Linked DNA regions of Notamacropus eugenii. The protein of the gene in region 1 interacts with the protein of each later gene in a pairwise test. Links are inferred from orthologs where the notes say so. Each region holds a gene or a part of one and is shown in the gene's direction. Other genes may lie near its edges.

Evidence for each region.
Region 2: the proteins of keratin, type I cytoskeletal 40-like (region 1) and SH2D4A interact in binary tests that used the Homo sapiens proteins (3 or more experiments, as listed by UniProt). The two-hybrid records come from large-scale screens. The link is inferred for Notamacropus eugenii from reciprocal best matches to the Homo sapiens genes KRT40 and SH2D4A.
Region 3: the proteins of keratin, type I cytoskeletal 40-like (region 1) and FARS2 interact in binary tests that used the Homo sapiens proteins (3 or more experiments, as listed by UniProt). The two-hybrid records come from large-scale screens. The link is inferred for Notamacropus eugenii from reciprocal best matches to the Homo sapiens genes KRT40 and FARS2.

What each region holds. Positions count from the first base shown.
Region 1 is NC_092873.1:356,891,474-356,899,100, reverse strand, and holds the start of keratin, type I cytoskeletal 40-like, read left to right. Parts: upstream 1-4,608; coding exon 4,609-5,055; intron 5,056-6,004; coding exon 6,005-6,087; intron 6,088-6,596; coding exon 6,597-6,753; intron 6,754-7,627. UniProt on the Homo sapiens protein: May play a role in late hair differentiation.
Region 2 is NC_092872.1:616,684,990-616,692,335, forward strand, and holds the start of SH2D4A (SH2 domain-containing protein 4A), read left to right. Parts: upstream 1-4,328; 5' UTR 4,329-4,625; intron 4,626-4,676; exon of another isoform or gene 4,677-4,894; intron 4,895-5,114; 5' UTR 5,115-5,284; intron 5,285-7,346. UniProt on the Homo sapiens protein: Inhibits estrogen-induced cell proliferation by competing with PLCG for binding to ESR1, blocking the effect of estrogen on PLCG and repressing estrogen-induced proliferation. May play a role in T-cell development and function.
Region 3 is NC_092875.1:175,234,279-175,241,251, forward strand, and holds the start of FARS2 (phenylalanine--tRNA ligase, mitochondrial), read left to right. Parts: upstream 1-3,955; 5' UTR 3,956-4,286; intron 4,287-4,315; exon of another isoform or gene 4,316-4,889; intron 4,890-6,973. Other genes in the region: LYRM4 (LYR motif-containing protein 4), read right to left, coding at 2,380-2,465. UniProt on the Homo sapiens protein: Is responsible for the charging of tRNA(Phe) with phenylalanine in mitochondrial translation.

The sequences.
Region 1 (7,627 bases):
TAGTGCTCTATCCACTGAGTCATCCTAGGTGACTAAAAGGATATTAATTTTTAAACCAGGAGAGAACTAAGAAGTATTGAATACTTATTAGTTCTATGACCCTAGGCAAGTCACTTAACCTTTTTGTAACTCAGTTTTATCATCTGTAAAACAGGACTAGAATTTATAGCCTCTCAGATTCCTTTAATCTCTAAATCAATAATCCTATGAATCCCTAGTTTTACAGATAAGAAAAATGAAAACTAGAGAAATTAAGTGATTTTCTGAAGGTCACATAGATCATAAGAAGCAAAAAGCAGTATTTGTTCTGACTCCAGGATGATTTTTTCTTTAAAAATATTCCAGTATGAACAAAGAATTTTTAGAAAAACAGTAGAATCCTAGTCAGGGAAACTTGTAGTCAAGACATAATTTTAAAGATGAGGGTTTATCAAGTCAATAAGTATTTATTAAGTGCTTATCATATGCCATGCACTGCACTGAACTCTGCAAATGCAAATATAAGCAGAAAGAAAGATAATGCCTGATTTCAAGGAACTTACACCTTTTTTTTTTTAACTTACATCTCCTTAATTTTACTTTTGTGACTTTAAAATTAAGCACCTGGATTCTAATCATCCACGTTTTTTTATAAAGATAAACCTTGTTATTGTTCATTGAGTTATTTGTTTGTTTGTTTTTTCTTGAGTCATAACTAGGAATTCTTGAACTTTGTCCAATTCAGCTGAGATGGTGGAAGAGGACGATTAACTTGGGTGGGCTGCAGTTGTGATGATCCATCTCTTTACAAATCCAATCATATCCCCTACCCCCTGAAATTTCAGCAAGACATGGCAGGGGGCGGGTAGCAGGCATAGTAGTGTGAGAGTGGAGGAAGTCAAGCCTTAAGAGAGAATGCTAAGACCACAGAACCTCGGCAGGAGGGAAGGGGAAGGAGGGGGCAGTTCATGAGGAAGCGAGAATAGTCAGACATCATGGTGTAGAATGGTAGAGGACTACTAGTTACGGGATAATAAACCTTTAGATGTTCTTTACCTGAGACAAAGTTCAAGCTGCCTTACCCTAGTTACAACTTTGCTTTTTACCCTCAAAGGTAATGATGGATATTACATGCATGTTTTTAATGGATGCAAAATCAAACAGAAAATCAGCAAGGTTATGTCACAAGCCTCTCAGTCACTGTGCAGAAGATTTTATGTGACAACTACTAGACATGGTCTCCAGTTGCAGAATTTCTTCTTCATAGTCAAAACTGCCAGTTCTACATTTTAATAAAATGGAGTGAAAAATATTAGAATCCTCTCTTGCTGACTAAAAAATCCTCTCAGATAAGAAGGAAGAGAATTCAGAAGACTGTATCCATGCTTAAGATAAATGTGTCTAAAATAGGGCTAGAATTAGATGCCCTCTAAAAAGGCTTCCAATTCTTCAGAGTCTATGACCTACCTAAGAGCAGTAGGCAAAGGATTTTCCAGTCCTTGGCATATAGTAGATGCTTAATAGATGCTTCTTTGATTCCTTGATTGATTTCTGATCCTAGAACAGTAAGGAAGGTACTTATTTGACACTGGAATTTCAATTTTTTTTCCAAAGAATGTGCCTTATCCCTAAGATCAGTAGCAATTAGAATCTTTAAAGGCCCTGGGTGTCCTTATCCTAATTCCCACTTGCATTGATCAGTCCCATTTACAGAGGACTGACTGTCTCCTTCTTGGGGTTCTAGGAGGTCCCCCAAGGGACAGGAGATCCCAGGTACTCCTCAAGGCCTTGCTGGTGGACCAGTCTCAACTATTTACAAACTCCGGCATTGACCCCAGGTCCTGGACCTCTAGAAGCTCACAAGGTTATAGTCTAGTAGGAAAGAATTGACACAACAGGGAACCCAAGTTCACAAAGTAAGCCATTAACCCTAGTTCTCTCTGTTTCTCTACCTGGAAGCTTACAGCAATGCTTGCCTCCTCACTCATAAGAATCTGGGCAGGAGAGGGAAGGAGACAGAGAGAAACAGAAAAAAGGAGGGAAGGAGAGAGATGGGACAGAGACAGAGTGATAGAGAGGGAGAGAGACAGAAACCGAGACAGAGGAAGTGAATGGGGCAGAAACAGAGAAAAATCGATAGAGAGGGAGAAAGGGAAAGAAAGAAAGAGAAATAGAGAGATTGGGAGGGAGAAACAGAGAGATAGAGAGGGGAGAGAGATAGAGACAGAGAAATAGAAACAGAGAGGAGGGGAAAAGATGAGATAGAGACAAAGAGAGATTGATAGAGAGGGTGACAGATCAACAGAAAGAGGAGAGACAGAGACAGAGAGAGAGAAAAGACAGAGACAGTGGAGAGACAGGAGAGAGATATAGACATAGACAAAGAGAATGTATATTTGTATGTGTGAGAGAAAGAAAGAGGTTCATTTTGACAAGTTATTAACTTTTGGATGTGTACTAACTTATGGCTCAGCACATAACCAAAACTCTGTGTGTATGTGTGTGTGTGTGTGTGTGTGTGTGTGTGTGTGTGTGTGTGTGTGTTTACCATATATTAAGCAGACTGGAAATAGTCAGAGAACACCTAAGCACATTCTAGAGTGGCAAGCTGAGTGCCTCCATTTTATTTCATCACAGGATCCCCAAGCAATTGTGGGGGTGCAATAAGCAGAGTGATATACAAGCTTAAAAGGCAGAACTTCCACTGGCCTTTTCTGTCCCCTTCACACCCCCTGCATTACATAATGTTTATTCCCATTTTGTCGGTATCCAAAGTGGGCCCTAGCCAATGGAGTTATGTAAATACCAGAAAACAGATTCAGCCATAATAGCTCTGATGGCATTATGGAATAGTTTCATCATAACAAAATCCTGCTTGAGTTCAAAAGGCTCTCAAAAAAGGAATTCATTTTCTGAACTGATTCAGAAATAAATCAACAAACATGAAATGTCTTTTGTGTTCAAAATTCTAGGAAATCAAAGACAAAAAAAAAAAAAGCATGGGGTCCCCTGCCCTGCTCCATAATAAAGAACATCAGAATGAGGCCACAGTGTGATACAGAGGTGATTCTAATTCAGATGCAGATTAGACCGAATCAAGGGGTGGGGAACCTGAGGCCTTGATTCTAGGTGTGGCTCTCTAGGTCCTCATGTGCAGCCCTTGTCTGACCAAATGGTCTTTGAGGACTCTCCCAACTCTGATATCCTTTGATTTTGTGAGACAATGGGAATGTGGAGAATTAAAGCAAAATGCTTAGTCTGGGCAAATCAGCAGACTAAAGTAAAATTCCTGACCATCTGTTTGTGCCACGACTTGTATTGAAAGTGACCTGTCAGCAACCTAGGAAGTATCCATCCACGACGCAATTTGACCTTCCAGATCAAACACAGAGTGTGATAGGCCAATCTCACAAAGAGATGCTTCCTAAGCCAAGCACACCTCAGCACACCTCATTCCTTAAGCATGTCTGCTCTTCCCCGAGGATGGGAGGCTATTAAAAGGATTTCTACTCACATTAAAATTTATTTTATAGTTGACAGATGGGAAGACTCAGCAAAAATGATAATAATCTGGAAGATTCTTCTGCAAATCTTCATCAACATGCATGTTTGTCATTTCATTGTCGTTTAAGACAGACACAGAAGATTGTAGTGTATACAACCATGTCCTCCATCTCCTATTTGTAAGAAATTAGAGCCCCTGATTGTTTGCTGACCAAGGTTTTTCTCTTCCTTTCCCACATTTTTGAAGCTTTAATCCCTGGAATTCCTAGCGTGATTATCTATAACAAGCATGTCATTCATTCAGGCATTCATTCATCAATTAACAAGCATTTATTAAGTGACCACTATATGCCAAGCATGGTCTAGCAATACAAAAACAAAAAACAAAACAAAAATAATCAAGAAGATTATATTGAAGGGGAGGAGGGGAGTGGGGAGAAATATGTACATAGAAAAGTGAATATGAAGAAAGTTAATATCAGGAGAAGAGGGTACTGAAGGTGGTAAGGATCAGGAAAGGTCTCATGGAGGTGGCACACTAGCTATAAGGGGAACTATGTACAAAGACACGGCAATGGGAGCTGGAGTGGCTTATTTGGAGAGCACCAGGCTGGCCAAATTTATCTGGAGGATAGAATAAATGAAAGGGAGTAATATGCAAATAAGCCTGGAAAGGTAGACTGGAGCAAGATTTTTCAGAACCTTAAATACCAGGATAAATATTTTGTATTTTATTCTAAATAAAATAATGAATTTTTGCTTCCAAAACTTTCTAGTTCAAATCTAGATGTCAATGACATACACCTCAGTATAAAACACTTTTTTTTCACATATCTAAGAGCTTGATTTTATTGTCCTACTGTCACATGGACTCTCTGATAGGTTTTATTAAAGCAACATGAACTTGACCTTGTTAATGAGACAAGGAACTCTTCCATTGTAAATACACAACAGACTAATGAAACGTTCTTTTGAAAACTAGCATAAACAGGGCTTAAGCAAACATCCTGAGCATTCTGTCAACAGCCCTGGAGAGGCTCTATAAAAATCCCAATGAGGAAGGAAAAGACTAAGTGTGGGTACCTTGAGTCTAGCAGACAATCCTTGCCCTTCCCTTCCGATACTATGACTTCTGAATGTGCCCCCAAAAGTGATACTCCTGAGTCCTGTTCAGAGGCATCAGACTGTCCCTCTGTTTCAACCTGTTCTACTGAGATTCCCTGTCTCCCCAGTACTGGGGTAGCATCCAGATGCCAAACCCCAACCTTCATCGCCAGGTCCTGTCGGCCCACAAGTCGCCTACCAACTTGCTACATACCTGGGAGCTGTAGCAGCCCTTACTTTGTGGGTAGCTGTGGTTGGTGTGAGGAAGGAGCCTTCAACTGCAATGAGAAGGAGACCATGCAATTTCTGAATGATCGCCTGGCCTGCTACCTGGAGAGGGTTCGAGGCCTGGAGCAAGAGAATGAAGCTCTGGAGTGCAAAATCCGTGAGCAGTGTGAACTAGAAGTCCCTCTCGTGTGTCCAGACTACCAGTGTTACTTCAACACAATTGAAAATCTCCAACAAAAGGTCTGTTAGCCAATTCTTCTTCCCTAGCCCTTGCCCCCCATCTTACTGGATATGGTGATGTATTATGGGACCACTGTATTAATGGAAAGAGATGAGGATGGTGTGGAAGAGAGTTATAAAAATATTACCTAAAAGTGAAATCTGGAATATTATTAGTATATTGTACGGAAGATCAAACAAGGTAATAAGGTAAAGAGCTTTGCAAACTTTAAAGTGCTATGTACATTATACTACGATTATTACTGTTACTACTGCTACTTAGAATCTTGGACTTGACCTCAGGAAAACCTGAGTTAATTGCCCACCTCAGACACTTAACTAGCTATGTGACCCTTGGTAAATCAATTAACTCCTCTGTGCCTCAGTTTCCTCATCTGTAAAATGAGAGGGTTGCACTTGATAGCCTCTTAAGGCTTATTCTTGCTCTAAATTTAGGATTCTATGAATAGAATTTCTTTTTTCTCAGAGGTATAAAATTTACAGTCATGGAAATTATGAAAGAATGCCATTCTTTTAAGATTTAGCTATTAATTTTTAAAATCCTTTCTAGAAAGAAAAATAACCTATGTTTTACTGCTGTTGGGTTATTATAATGAGACAATGGGTTTGTTGTACAAATATAGCAAAGTAGTTAAGTAAATGAAATGTTTTCTACCTCCTTAGTTGGTCTCCAAATTCTCAGTTCTTTCTTTTTTGAGAGAGAATAAAGTGAATTTAAAAACAGAAATAAATGTGAAGAAATACAATCTCCTGGCTTTTTTTTTATATTTAAGTGATTTTGGAGGGGAGGGACATGATATAATTATCCAAAAACACTCAAACAGCCACATCCCTTCCCCTCCTTCCATATATATCACCCCGCCCCTACAAAATATCTGATGGTTTTTAAAAGAATGGATGTTAGAACTCTTTTCAGATCCTTTCTACTATTTCATCTCTTGTTTTTCAGATCTTGTGTACCAAGGCAGAGAATTCTAGATTAACTGTTCAGATTGACAACTTCAAATTGGCAGCGGATGACTTTAGATCAAAGTAAGTCTGGTGACATGGGACAGGGAAGGGGAAAGGAGGGAATAAGCATTTATAGAACACCTAGGATGTGCCAGGAACTGTGCTCAGTACTTCCCAAATATATTATTTCCTTCAGTCCTCACAATAGTCCTCCCAGGTAGGGTTTTTATCCCATTTTACAGTTGAGGAAACTGATGCAAACAGAGGGTTTTTTGTGACTTTGTTAAGTGCCTTGCCCAGGGTCATGAAGCTAGGAAGGGTCTGAAGTTGTCCAGGCCCAGATACCTGGGTCTGCCTGCACAGAAGACCAGCATAGATAAAGGCCAGCCTTGAAGTCAGGAGAATCTATTCTACCTCTGACATATATTAGATGTGTATCTATGTGCTAAGTTACCCAAACCCTGATTCCACATTTGGAGTCATAGGATTTCAGTCCTATCTCTGCCCCCTTACCTTTGTGCTTTTGACTAGGTCACATCATGAAGAAAAAAAAAACAAAATGAAATTAAGTTTCTCTCTTGTGATTAAAGGTATGAGACTGAACTGTCTTTTCGCCAGCTAGTAGAGGCTGACATCAGTGGTCTCCAAAAAATCTTAGATGATTTGACCCTATGCAAACGTGACCTAGAGGCACACGTGGAATCTTTGAAGGAGGATCTGCTCTGTCTCAGGAAAAATCATGATGAAGTAAGGAGACTGATGGGGGAAGGGAGAGGGGAGGAGGAGGAGGGGCAGGCCAAGTGGAACTAGTGGCCAAACTAAAGTGATGAATTTCGTGTCACAAAATATATGATGAGCACACACAGAAACTAACTGATAAAAGTAAAATGAGGCAAGCACTTTAAATATCCAGCTAAATCCTGCCATTTCATTTCTGTGGCTATAATGATAACACCCTGTGTAGACCCAGAGGGGTCATAACACGACTGGCCATGGCTACTTCTCTCTCTAGTAACAAGCATTTACATATGGTTCTAATGTTTGCCAAGTGTTTTACAAATATTATCTCAGCTGATCCTCACAACAGATACTATTATTATCCCTGTTTTATAGTTGGGGAAACTGAGGCTCGGAGAGTTTTTTTATGACTTGTTTATGGTCATTCAAGTATTGGAGACAAGATATGAACTCAGATGTTCCCTTAATTCAAGGCCAGCCTTTATCTTCTATTCTGGACTTGAATCAAGATTCTAATTCTACTTCAGACAAATTATAGCTGTGTGACTCTGGGCAAGCCATGTAACCACTCTGGCCTCAGTTTCCTCCTCAATAAAATAGGGATAATAATATTACCTACCTTTCAGGGCTGTCATGCAGATCAACTGAGATAATGCTGAAGGAGTGCTTTAAAAACTTCGAAGTAGTTTATAAATTTGAATTATTATCAAGGAATCATTTTTCCCATCCTACTTGATGGAATTAAGATAGTGAAATCTGGAATTACTACAGCGTGAAAGAAAATCACATATTTCTGAACACCTGGAAGAGGAAATTTAATTTTGTAATAAGACATGGTGCATATTTAGCACCAGCAGCTATCTTAATTACAAGTGCGGCTGCG
Region 2 (7,346 bases), on another chromosome or scaffold:
TTTATCACAGTGCCAGACACATAAGCGATTAATAGGTGTTTAATAAAGAATTATTGATTAACTGATTTGAGCTTGATGCAAGGGAAAACTTCCTAACAATCCAAGCCATATAGAAGTGGGATGGGTTGCTCTGAGAGGGAGTCAGTTTCTCCTCATTAGCAATCTTTCCACTGAGGCTGGATGATGAAATGAAATATTTTTGTATTCCAAATTTGCATTGGCTCAGTTGCTAGTTAGTATTTGTGCCAATCTTAATCATATGTGTAACTGAATTCAATGTGAATGTAATTTTTGATTACATGAAAGAGCCTTACAATAGTAGGTTCAAAATCCAAGCTCTAATTATCAATCAGTAAACATGTATTAAATGCCTACTATATGACAGGCATTGGGCTAGGTACTAGGGATTCCAAAGCAAATAGGAAATAATCCCTGTCCTCAAGGACCTTAAATTTTATTAGGGGAGGCAAGAAGTCTATAAATAAGAAAATATAAAATATATTCAAAACAAATAAAAGGTGGAGAAAGGGAATAAGCATTTATGTGGCGCCTATCATATACCAGGTACTGTGCTGTGTTTATAAATATTATTTACTTCTCACAAAAACCCAGGCAGGCAGGTGCTATTACGTATCCTCATTTTATAGTTGAGAAAACTGAGGCAAGTAGAGTTTAGGTCACACAGCTAGTAAGACTGAGGCTGGATTTGAAGGCTTCCTGACTTCTGGTCCGTCCACACGGCCACTAGTTGTCCCCAATACAAGCTAACACAAAAAATTATGGAAAGAAGGGTACTAGGACCGTGAGGAATCTGGAAAGTCTTCATGAGTCTTAAAAGAAACAAAGGCTTATAAGAGATAGGGGGTGGAGGAATGGGGGTAGGGAAGCAGAGATATCTTGGGCCAAGGCGCTGAAAGAGGAGGGTATCTTGAGATGAGAAGGAGCAAGAAGGAAAATCTAGCAGAAGTTTTGAATGTAGGAAAGGAAGAGAGTGATGGTTAATAAGGCTGGAAAATAGGTTGTTTATTTTATGCAAAATTGAATGAAATGATTCACTGGTCTTTTCAAGATGCCTTAAAAGCTTTCAGTATAGAAAGATAAAGGTTAAGGTGGTTTTTCCATGGTGTTCATAAATACAAATACATGGAATTTGAATTGTCTTCTTTTGGATATTGGAGGTACAGTCAACAAATATTTATTAAATATCTACTGTTTGACACGATGGGGCAGCTAGGTGGCACAGTGGAGAGGTTGGGCCTGGAGTCAGGATGACCTGAGTTCAAATCCAGTCTCAGATACTTACTAGCTGCATGACGCTAGGCAAGTCACTTAACTATTTGTCTCAGTTTCCTTATCTGTAAAATAAGCTGGAGAAGGAAATGGCAAACCACTCCAATATCTTTGCCCAGAAAAACCAAAAAGGGGTCACAAAGAGTCAGAACAACAATAACAATCTCCAGACACCATGCTAAGCACTGGGTAAAGAAGACCACCAAGCAATGGAAGCCCAACTATGACTCTCCTTTCTCCTTTTCTGATCCCCAAAGGCTAAGTGCCTAGAAACTCTCTACTATAGAGCTTAATACACCATTTCAGATTTTTCTCCCATTTTCCTATTTCCCCATCAAGAGTGGGGAGATTTTTTTCAATCTAGGGCCATTGAGTGGAGGCTTATATTGGTTAGGGTGGAGGGTACACAGAAACAATTGAAGGTCACACAAAAGACAACCTTATTTAGTTTTATTTTTTCTCAGAGCAATACAAGAGCTTCAAAATCACTTATTTTTAAAAATTGCAAAAAGAGGTTCATGGATTACTTCTACCCACTCAAAAGTGGATTACCTTTGTTAGATAGGATCACTTCTCAACTGGCAGATTCAATTAGAACTAGATATGAGCAAGACCTAGACATCCTCTTAAAGACAATAGATGATGTCTCAATTAGGTGCAAAGAAAATCTGTGCTGAGTCGGTGAAGGACTTGGCCATGCCAAGGAGCTTGTATAAATGCAGGAGAGAGTTCAGCTCTTCAAACGTCATAAGTCTGAGAGAGTAGAGGGAGTTGAAACATCAAGAACTGAGCTGGAAAGAATCGACAGCAAAGGGGCAACATGCAAAAGAAGAAAGAAAGTTGGCAGAGAAGAGAGAGATAGAGGAGGGCCTTTGGCCCTTTAGGATCTCAGAGTGCAAAACTTGGACTGATGCCATCAGTTTTACCTTCCTTCTCAAAGATCCAAAGTTCTAAAAAGAGGTCAGTTCTTTCCCCAACTTCCCCTTCTGGTATTTGTCTATTAATAGACACTGTCAAATGTTAAAAACATTTTTGCTTACATGTAACTGAGGGAAAAAATTAAATGTAAATTTAAAGAGGACACTGTAATATAACTCCTTTTCTTCTTTACATAAATGTTTCGAATAACATGAATTTCATCTCAACCACAAAGAGGTCAGGGGTTAGCTAGAGATAAACCTAATTATAAATTAAGGCAGAGAGCCAATCCTCTGCTGGGGATTTGGAGTCATTATACTCCTAACTTTTTGTTTTAATTCCCTAAAGCAACAGAGGAAGGAACCATATGAACCTAAGGACAACTGTATTACCCCTAGCCTTAAAATAAGCTACTTATTGTAGCAAGGTATTACACACATATAAAACTTTAAAAAAAAGCCAACAACCACACAGCCAATGCCATAGTTATGTCTAGTTAAGAAAGCATTGCAGGGAATAGGGGAAATGAAACAGAAAGGAGAGATGAGAGATGATAAGGTGGTGGGAAGAGAGAAAAGAGGCAAGAAAGGGGGGAAGGAGAGAGACGAAGGGGGAGAGAGAGATACGGGAAGAAAGGGAAGGCAGGAAGAGAAAAAGAGAAGGACTTAAAAAGTTCTGAAGTAAATTGCTTACAATTCAGTTTGACAGTTGGGTTTTAGTGGTTTTTCATTGGACAGCTTTGTAGTATGCAAAGTTGTATAAGACAATCCTTGCAATCAAGACGTCTAAAAAGTATTTTTTCAATCTAGGGCCATTGAGTGGCCCTAAACACACACAAATACCTTCAGTTCAAGGCAGCATGTGAAAAGTAAATCAGTTTGGCTGGATTTTAGACTCCATTAAGGAGAGTGATGAATGAAGAGCAGGTTTGAGTAAAGCTGTGAAGTACTTTAAAAGCCAAACAGGAATTTGTAGCTATCCTAGAACCACAGGAACCACTGGAGTTTAGTGAGCTGGGGAATAACGAAGTAGGTGCTTACATACATGAGGATCACAGGTCTAGAGCTGGACCTCAGGAACAATATAGTTGAACTTCCTCATTTAACAGATGAGGAAACCAAGGCCTAGAGAAGGTAGGAGATTTGTTCAAGGTCATACAGGTCATGCGGCATTTGAATCCAGGCCCTCTGGATTTACAGGCAGTGTTATTATCTTAAGTTAAGGTTTGAGGGATTGGACTGCATAGTGATAATATTATGCATTCCCATCATTGGATGAGTACTATTCAGACAACAGACATTGATGCTTTCAGTAAGAATTGATCTAGATCCCTCTGCTGTCCCTTTCCATTCTGAGATCCTAGAATTTTGATTCTATAATGTGTTGTTCATTAGTTGAACAAAATATAAGGAAATGAAATGAAATATTTTCCCAAATGTTTTCATTTTTCTTCACATTCCATCCTTTCTGGGTTTTTTATTTTTTTCTCCTCTAAATTCTAAGCCTGTCTTTTAATGTCATACCTTTATGGCTTTTGATAATGGAGAACTGTAAATTAAAGGGCAGACTAAAAGCAAATAGTCAACATTTAGGACACAGAGTAGAACTGAAGAGAGTGACCTGATTTTAAATGCCTTCTGAATGAGTCAAAGCTCAGAAAGGTCCTGTTTCAGCCACTACCCTTAACAGCACTTAGACGTTAAGCTGTAAAGTTTGCAAAGTGTATTTGATCTTCACAACCACTCACTGAAGCAGGTGCTATCACCCCCATTTTACAAGAGAGGAAACTGAGACTGAGAGAGGTTAAGCGACTTGTTTAGAGCCACATATCTGGAACAGAATTTGAACTGTCTTCCTGCCTCCCAAGTCCCGAACTCTATCCTCTGCACCACTGTTCCTAACTTTCATGGAGGTCTGGAATGGATGAAGGACTACCCCAGATAAAAATAAGTGTCTTAGGTACTGAAAAATAGTAAGGGAAGTAACCACATCAGAGAGTCGTAAAGGAGTGACTGTGAGAGGACCTCCCTTAAATTGCTAGTTTTGGAAGCAAGGGAAAGGTTCTCCTTGCTCCTTTCAGACCCAAATCCCCGGGGTTGCCCCTTTGGAGTCAGCGTCCATGCAGTCAGATACTTGGGGCTCAGCAGCGCAGAGGCGCCTGGTGCCTGCGCGAGCAGTTTGGGACTTTGCAAGAGGCAGGGGTGGGGCTGCGAGCTCCAAGTCATCTGGGTGTGTGGGACCCGTCCGGGGAGGCGCACGCAGGGACAGGGTTTTGCTCCTTCAGCTTTCGGACTTTAATAACATCGTTCCTGCCAAATTCTGCTGCCGCCGGCACCGGTCTCTCCCCCTCTCCCAAATTCGTCATTCCTCTGACAGCCCAAACTGAAAGACAGAGGTGCTTGGGTCGCCCTGTGCAGGTGAGTTCGGGATTACAGGTGGAGCCGGGGGTGGAGAGAGTTAGAGGGGACTGGAGAGGAGAGTGAAGTAACCCGGGGAAAGCTGCCGTGGGGTGGCACGCAATGGAGTGTTCTTGGGAGTGAAACGAAAAGTTCTGTGCTTGTGGCTGGGGGAGGGGGCATGAAGTCGGAAGAAAAGGCTGCCTAGGACTTGAGGCTGAGGACAGGAAGCGGGCTTAGTTTCCTGCCTTTGGCAGAGATCCAGGCAGGACCTGGTGAGGTGAGGCGAGGTGAGAGGGCAGTGTGGATGGGACAAGTCTGGATCAAGCGCTAACCACCCCTCCCCCTCTTCTGCACCTCCACCCCCGGTTCCATCCCCTTCCTCCCCTCCCCCAGGCGCTGGCACTAGGAGTAGCTCAGGTGTGTGGGGAAGGCTGGGGGCAGGATGGGGCTGGCGCACAGGTGTCCGATGTCTGGTATTTGGTGTCTGGTGTCCGCCGCCGCGGGCAGGCAGGCTTTGTGAGCCACAGGTCCTGATGGATGGCGGGGAGAGGAGGCGGGGAGTGCCGGGTAGCGCCTGCCGGAGGTGGAGTGGAAGCCGGGAGGCGAAGGTTGGAGGGGACTTCTGAAGCATTCCGGGGATCCAGCCTACAAGGGTGGCGCTGCGTGACCAAGCCTGGGTCAGTGCTCGTGCGTGCGTGTGTGTGTGTGTGCATGCTCATGTGCCAGGAGCCAGCGCTGCTTCAAGCTGGCGCAACTGTTCCCGGGACAACCGGGAAAGAACCTGTGGAGTCAGAAAATCACTGGGCTGTGGCGGAGAGAAGCAGCCTGGACACCCCCCTGGGGCCAGGCATCCGGACTCGCACCCGGGCTCCCAGAGGCGCACCTGTATACGCCTGTGGCTCACGGGAACGCGCACACTCACATTCATTCACTTTTTGGGCACAAGATCTCAACAGCCTCTTACCCCACCCCCTAGGCGGCCAAAAGCACACTTACGGAGCCCTGCTCCATACTAGCGGCATGGTGGATTTGCAGCCCTGGGAAGCTGGGTTATGGGTTCGAATTCTACCGGTTGATAAGTCAATTTTTCACTTGTGTGAAGTTGACCAAGTCCCTTTTTCTCTCTGAAGGACCTCAGTTGCCTGATCTGTAAAATGAGATTTAGGACTAGATAATCTGTAAAGATCTTTTCCATCTCTAAATCCTTTAACGCCTGCGCTTCGGGCACTTTTCCTGGTGCCTTTTGGATCACTTTTAGAGAGGTCTCCAAGCTCCACAAGCTTGAAGCACTCCTTCAAGAGCCAGCCCTTTGCTGTGCCCCAGTGCTTTGGCACCGAGTGTGCTCAGCAGCCCAGCGTGGGCGGCCTAGGGGGGAGAACTTGTGCTTGTTGATGGGCGGCTGGCTGACTGGGCCGGCTGGGTCGTGGGCGGTGTCCTCAGGCCTGGAGCCAAGTCCCTTGGTAGCTAGTGTTGTGGACAGAATGCCCAGCAAAGCCGGTGGCCCCAGGCAGGCAGCTTGAGGCCTTTCCTAACCCCGAGAGCTGGCGGGGAGGTCACCGGCCAGGTACGCTGGGGAAGAGGCCACTTGCTCTAGAGGATTGCTCTGAGAGGTTATATAGGTCTTACCTGGAGGCAGCCAGTATATGTCCGAGGGGGGATCTGAACCCAGGTCCTCCCAAGTCCTTGGATGGCTGCCCATCCATAAGCTGGGCTGCCTCCATTTAAAGTTTGTACTTTCCTCACAACAGTCAAGTAGGTCTCAGTGTTACACGTGAAAACTTGTATTACAAAGGGGTGTGTTATAAAGCACATATGAAGAAAGGCGTATCTGCATCCAGAGAAAGAACTGATAAATAGAAACATGTATAAAATAATTATGTATGTGTGTATCCATGTATGTATATATGTGTGTATATATATTATATACATATAGATATACACATACATACACCTATTTGTGTCTAATGGTAGCCATGGAGGGGGAAAAAAGGGAAACAAACGCATTTAATATGAATTTTGTTGTATATTTGAAAGGAACAGCAAGTGGTATATAGTATATTTGTAGTTTCATGTGCAATCATCTTTTTTATTGTCCCGTGTTGTGGAAATTCTTGTTTTATTCCATAAATTAAAAATAAAATACATTTTTTAAAAACAACACCAAAAAGAAAAAAAAAGAGGAAAGAGTTGCTTGGGGAAAGAAGGAAGCAAATAAGTTGTATGTAATAGACATGCAGTTTCAGGTACAATCCTTATTTCTTGCCTGTGGAAATGTTTGTGGGTATCTGTCAAATGCAGAATAACAGAAATTTAAAATCCTGAAAGAGAGAGAAAAGGGGGGAGAGAAGGATTTGAATTAATTTGATTTGGTGCCTGGTCTATGAATTGACCCTAACCCTTGAAAAGTCCTGAGAGTGTCTGAGTGTGGGTAATCTACTTTCTTTATGAATTAGCAAGGTCAGGGGTTTAGGATGGTTAGGCTGCAGACACAACGGCCTCTGTTGACTGTATTTGAAGTATTTCTATCTTGTTATGATCTGCCAAAGCTTAAGGTACATGACTGTGGCATTCTAGGGCCCAGGGTCACCTTCCACCCCTTACTGGAAGCCTTGGCAGAGTACTTCAGTGGATCAGGAAATCAGTGGGGAAAAACCCTTGTTAATCACAGGTCTGTTTCCTTACTTTTAAGCTTCTCTCCTCATCTTAAATATTTGGTATATACTACATAAATTAAATGTC
Region 3 (6,973 bases), on another chromosome or scaffold:
GTTTTCCCAAAGTAGGGTTTTTTGTTTTTTTGTTTTTGTTTTTGTTTTGGCAGAACTGGGATTCAAATTCAAATTTCTTTGCTCTAATTGTAGTGTTTTTTTATACTATACCATGAGGACTCTTGTGGCTAATAATTTTTACCCTAATCTGGGGAAGAATTCAAGTATAGTCTCTAACAATGTCTCAGTCTTCTTCCTATTACAAGTACAGAAAATACCGTTTCCTTGTAACCAGATGGATCTGAGTTAAGTTCTTAGAGGTCAGGAGCACAGACCAGGATGATTCTACCAATTTGCATGCAAGAGTGAGGTATGGGATGTTGGGGTAGGGCTTAGCACACAAGAGGAGGCAATAAGGTTTAGCACCCTCCATTCCAGTCATTCTTTCCTCTAAGATTGTTTTACTGCAGAGGGGTCAAACTCTTAGGGTCACCTGATGTCCTGCAAGATTCCCCAAGTGCTGCCAGAACTAGATCAAAATATAATTGGAAAATGTTTTAAAATATACAAAAATACTACATAATGGTAATTTGTGGCTTTTTATTAAATATGCAACCTGCAGGGATCCATTTCTATTTGAACTTGACACCATACTCCTATGATTTTGCTCATGCCATTTCCTATTACTGAAATATTATCCATGTCCCTCTTTGCCTACTGCATTCTTACTATCTTGAAAAGCCCACCTCAAATCCTACCTCCTCCACTGAGCCTTCAAAGATCTCTCCCAGTGGTAATGACCTTTTCATTGCACCTCAGAACACTGTGTTTTGCATTTGGTAATATACTTCTTGCACATCGCAGTTATCTGTGTTTTTGTATTATCCTTTTCCTAGACTGGAATTTCCTTAAGGGTATTCTCCAAGTCCTACAACAAATAAACCTGCATCTTTCCCTGACATGGTACACAGTAGGTATTTTAATGCTTTCTGAATGAATGAATGCTAGAAGTTACCTTTTACCTTTACACAATGCCTAAATCCTCACTACAACATTCTGCCCAGTGATCGTCCCCCTGCTGCTTGAACACTACCCGTCATAGAAGAACCCGCTACTTCCTGTGAGGGCCTACTTAATTTTTTGTCTAAAATGATTAGGAACCTTTTCTTTACACTAAACTGAAGTTTGCCATTATATCTATGCAATGAAATTACTTCTACCCTCTGGAACCACAAATTACAACCTTCAAAATGTCTGACAGTATCTATCATATCATCAGGTTAAATATCCCCAGTTACTTCAAATAATTTTCTATTAAGATGGTTGAGTCTCATCATCATCCTGGTATACCTATTTCTGTATGAGAGACAACTTAAGTTCTTTTCTAAGAGTTCAGTTCAGAGTTGAATACAATACTCCAAATGTGGTATGAATAGTCTGCTTCTCACTTCCCTCCACTTTTGTTAATGAAACTCTGAAGCACATTAGCTGGTTTGAAAGCTGAGATACCTGAATTTCTAGCATGTCAGAATCATATTACAGGGGGAAAAATCTCCCAAACCATATGGTAGCCAAAACTTGGACTAAGACAGAAAGCTCTATAACAAGTCACTTGGGAGACTACCTCCTCTCTCCCTAGGTGAAGTCCCACATGCAACAGGTTATGCATTAATTTCTTCCCAGGAGCTCTGAAAGCCTGAGCTTTGGCCAAGGGCACAGGAGACCAGAAGGGTCAAAGAGGAGGGGAACACAGTTCAGTCCCTTGCACCTTCCCTTCCTCCTCCTCCTCCTCTTTTTTTCCTCTTTCCTGTTACAATACTTATTTTTGGTTTTTTAAGCAAAATGTCCATCCCTCCTTTAAAGAGAAACTTGTCCTTCCGTTTACACCATTAAGAAGTGTCCCGCACACCTTATTACCGTAAATGACCTCCTGGAGTTGGAGAGCAAAGGAGGTGACACGTGCCCACCACTCTGCCAGTCTTGGGGGGGGGGTGCTAGCCATTACCACTCACTATTATTACTATGAATACGTATCACTAGAACCTCAGTAATCGTGCAGAGAGGGCTTTGTGTCGGCCCGGACCGTCTCCCAGCACACTCCCTGCTGAGGAGCAGCGCACGGCCGGGCCGGGGGGCCGCCTCCCCCCGCAGTTAGACAACCGTATTATCACAGGGTCGGCTTTCTCCGTCACCCCATGTGTTCTGCTTCACGCCTTCCAGAGCTTCGTTCCGGGAAGGGATCCACAGGCTTCACAGGACACAGACCAGCAGGACAGCCGCCTCGCACACCCAGCCCCAGCCCCCCAGGTCCCCGCTCCGGGTAGCCCTCCGGAGCCGGCGTGGGTTCGCGCTGCCCTCCCAGGGGCTGTGGGGGAAGCTGGACGCTCCCAGGCCGCGCGTGCCCCCTCCCCACCTCGGCCCCGGCCCGCCGAGGGTCACCTGTAATTGTAGGAGGTGAACTTGCCGCTCTCTCTCAGCATCACCCGGTACAGATCTAACACTTGTGCCCGACTGGAGGCTGCCATCTTGGGAGGGGGTGGGGCAGAAAACAAACCGGTCCTTTCCCCGGAGGCCCCGCCTGATCCGGAGGGGCGGACTCGAATAAAAACCGGGGCCGAGGAGGCGCGAGCTCCCCTCGGCTCCCGGGCAGGGCCCGCGGGCTGGGCCCGGAGCTCGACACTCCGCTCTCCCCGCTTCTCAGGCGCCAGCCAGGACCCTCCGAGGGCTCTAGAGCTCGAGAAGTTTTGGAAAAAGAAAACAGGCAGCTCCGCGGGCAGCTAAGCGGGGGAGGCGTGGGAGACCAGGAAAGTCAAAACATCGGCGGGCATTCGCAGGTCCCGCCGGGGGCTGGCGGGCAGTTCAGCTGGGAACAAGTTAGGACTGTTTGGCCGGGGCGCCTGCCCTCTCCCTCCGCACCACCCCCTGGTTCTTATTTGCTGTTTGGTCCATTTCAAGTGTACTGATGATGCAGGGCCAGAGAAAATAGGACCGAACCACGGGGTGCGGGGCTAGGGCCGCTGCTCCGTCTGCAGGGTTCAGGCAGGAGAGCAACGGCTTTTCCAGCTTCTAGAGCCGGGAAGAGGAGTTCAGACAGGATGGGTGTGTGTGGGGGTGTAGGAGGCAGAAGTAGGCCCAAGTAAAGTAGGAGGTGCATCACCTTGCTGCAGGCTTCCCTAACTCCTAGTCCCGTTTTCTTAGGTCTTTTCAGATCCCGTCCCTGGGTCTGAATCTGTAGTATGCCCCTGGTGGGACGCAGTTCCTATCACTGGGGTTGAAGATGAAATAGACAGTTCTAATCTCACTACCTGTAGGACATTTGGCAAGCCTGGAGAAAACTCAGAGCAGATAAGATTGATGTTTTCAAGTATCCGAAAGTCTGTCAGATGGAAAAGGGATTACACTTACTTTGTTTTGCCCTACAAGGCAGAATGAGGTGGAAAGCTGCAGAAAGAAAATTCAGAAAATCCCTCCTTCCCTTCCCTCCTCCTTTCCTTTTTTCCTTCGTTCCTTCCTTCTTTCCTTTCTCCTTCCCTTCTTACCTCCTTCCTTCTTCTCTTTCTTTCTTCTTTCCTCCCTACTTCCTTCCTCCCTCCCTCCCTTTCTTCCTCCCCCCTTCCTTTCTTCTTTCTTTCCTCCCTACTTCCTCCCTCCCTCCCCCTTCCTTTCCTCTTTCCTTCCTTCATAATGAGGATTATCCAAAGTGGAATGGTAGAACTCTCCTCTCATAGGAGAGCCTGAGCAATTTAGCGAGGTGGTTGCCTTTTCAGTGAGATTTGGATCTCAGAGACCCGCTCCTACTCAGAATCCTGAGTTATTTCATGTCTTTGGGCTTCAATTGCATCACTTATCAAATGATAGGGCTGACCTGAACGACCTCTTTCAACCATAGATCTATGCTCCTGTGACACTAAGGACCCGTTTTGAAACTTGCCAGTCAGTTGCAACAGGCTGGCCAACCTCACATGCTCCTCTAGTCTGTGGGCTTTTAGCTAGCTAAAGCATTGCCTGTAGTTTTAATACATTCCTACCCAAAGCTGATTGCTCTTTGAGAGTTCAGAGCAGAAAAATGAAGCTCAGGGAGTAGAATGCTGGCAGTACAGGGAGTTGAGGGGTGCCTGGTGAAGCTGCTAGGCGAAGGCTCCTTTATTTATGTTCAGGCACTTTTCAGGACGACTTGTTTAGCGGCTTTTCAGAAAGGCCCCGCGTGAGTTTCAAGATGGCGGCGCCCAGAGTACACGAGAATTAGTTCTTCAGTCACTTCAAGTCCCTTTCCTGAGAGCGAATCTGTGCCCGAATCTCCAGTTGTTGACATTTCCAGCGTCTCCGCAGTTCTGGCAGAGTAGTTGGTGAGTGCGGAGCCGACCTTCTGGAAATGTTGGTGCGGGTTACTAGCGGGAGCTTGAAGTGGGACCTGGACTTTTCTGACCAGGCATTCCCCAGCGTGTGTTGGCGCTTAGCTGAGGAGTCTTGTCGCGTTCGTTTTGTGGGGGAAGTATCAGCAGTAAGATTGGCTTGCAGAAATTCAGCGCCTTAAAAAAAAAGTCTTTATTTTGTAGTTCAGGGAGTCTACGGGAAATTCAGGAACGAGGCAAGAAGTGCGGACGAGCGTTTTCTTGAGGCATTTAGGATGGACAGACCCTCCAGAAATCGCGTGACGCACATTCCTGCCCCTCTTGTCTTTGACTAGTGCCGTGGTACTAGCTTTCGACGCTGGGACGAAATTCTGTCTTTTCCTCCCTCCTGGGAGGCTGGCAGTTTGCAGAGCACTTCACCTGATTTTCAGTGTTACAGGAGTGAAACGTCGCACGACCAAGACTCGGAGGACTGCTTTTATACTCCAGCGCAGGAGGATACTTGTCCTTTCCTTTGTGCTATTCCCCACTCTTCCCCTCTCAGAATCGCATATCGGACACTCTCGGTTTGCTTTTTGAAGACAGTGTTCATGATTGGTATGCATCTTCTGTGTACACTATAGGTATTTTACCTCTTTTTTAAATAATCGATCCGTGTTTTCTGCCATACTTGATCCTTCCCAGTGAATGCCTTTGCACAGTATGTCAGTCTGTGTGGGTTAAGTGCTATAGGTTTGGTGGAATTCTTCATGCAACTTCTCTGTATCAGAACAGATTTTAGCTCGTGAGCTGCATTGATTTTCATGGTGAATTTGTCACGTGCTCATGGTGGTTGCAATATAAGACTGAATGTCAGTTTTTAGAAATCTATAAAAATATTAACTGTGTTTATATAACTCAGGGTGTAATAGTGGGGGGGAGATAAGCATTTTAATAGTGCTTGTTACTGCAGTTGATCCTCACAACCATCCTGATAGCTGACTGCTATTATTATCACCATTCTATGATTGAGGAAATTGATGCTGAGAAAGGGCAAGTGACTTGCTTAGGTTCACAAGCTAGTAAGTGCCTGACCCCAGGCCTAACTATTTACTGCCTGTCTTTCTCTGTGTCTCTATCTCTCTCTCTTCAGTATTTGTATTTTAGATAAAGTGCTCATATAAATCTCATCATCATGAATTGAGAGGTGGTTTTCCCCATTTATTGCCCTCTCCCTGTCTACACAGTTTTTGGCATAAGTCCTGATAGCCAAATTACATATCCAGTACTTTCCTGTTTTGTAACCAACATGTTCTTATTATGTCCATAATGTTTGAAAGACGCTATGCTAGGCCCTGGAGATAGAAATACAAAATGAAAAGCAGTCCCTGACCTCAAGGAGTTTATATTGTTCTTGAGATACCACATTTAAACTCAACAAAATTGTAGATAGAAAAAATCTGAAATTACAAATTTACACAAATGCTTCAGATTGATGTGGAACTGACTCTCTTGAGTTGTTAAGAGCTAAGTCAGCAGAGTATAAGCTCTGGGGTCTTTTACTAGGTTGAAAACATTTTGAGTATTGTCCCAGGTAAAGATTAAATTTATTGTCCAGAAACCACCTATTTAATGGAGAAGTTCATCACTACTAGATTGACCAAAAAATTATTGAATTCTTTGGTCATATTAAAGTATGAATAAAAGACAAATAAAAAAATTCCCCTCATTCTACTTCCACAGTGACATACTGTTAGATCAACCAAACCACATCAATACTGATATTCTTTTAGTAGATGAATCCTGAATATAAAATTAAGTTAGTTGTAAATTGAAGGGGACCTCACAAGTTCTCCTTGGAGAGACAAATTAAGGAACTGATAGATTTATTTGATCAGCTACCCAAAAGCAGCATAAAAAATAATTTCATGGGACACTTGGTATATCTTGTCTTGTAGTTCATGATGAATTTTAGCAAAAAGATTCTATGAAAATAATAACTGACGTCTATCTATTGCAATTAGATTTGAAGGACACTTTACAATATCTTGTTTGATCCTTACGATGACCCTGTGAAGTAGTGACTATTTCCTCATTTTGTAAATGAAAAAACTGAGACATAGAGAGGTTAAATGAGCCTCTTTCCCTTCAGTACCATTTCACATGATGTTTCATTAGCTCCTATGGTTTCTATTATTATCTCTCTGCAGTTGCCTGTCAGATCTACTTGTTCCAATACTGTCTCTCCAAACCTCCAGTTTTACATCTCCAACTGCATTTGCCATCTTGAACTAGATATCTTGTAGACATTTTTAAGTATATCCTAAGCTGAACTCATTTTCTTTCCCCTCAAACCTTCTTCCTGATGTCTATTACTATTGATAGTATCACCATCCTTCCAGTTACCTAGGCTTGAAACCCAGGTGTCATCCTCAGCTCTCACTCCACATATGCTTTTAGTGTTCAAGTTTTGTTCTTTATATTATTTAAAAAATATTTCTCATATTCGCCCCCTTCTCTTCCGTGACCTTGCCACAATCCTGCTGCAGGCCCTCATCACTTCATGCATAGACTATTGCAATAGTTTGCTGGCTGGTCTCTCTGTCCTCCAGTAAATCCTCCACTCATCAAATCAATCTTTCTAAAGTGCAGATTTATGTCACTCTGCTAGTTAGGGAATGCCAGTGATTACCTCTAACCTC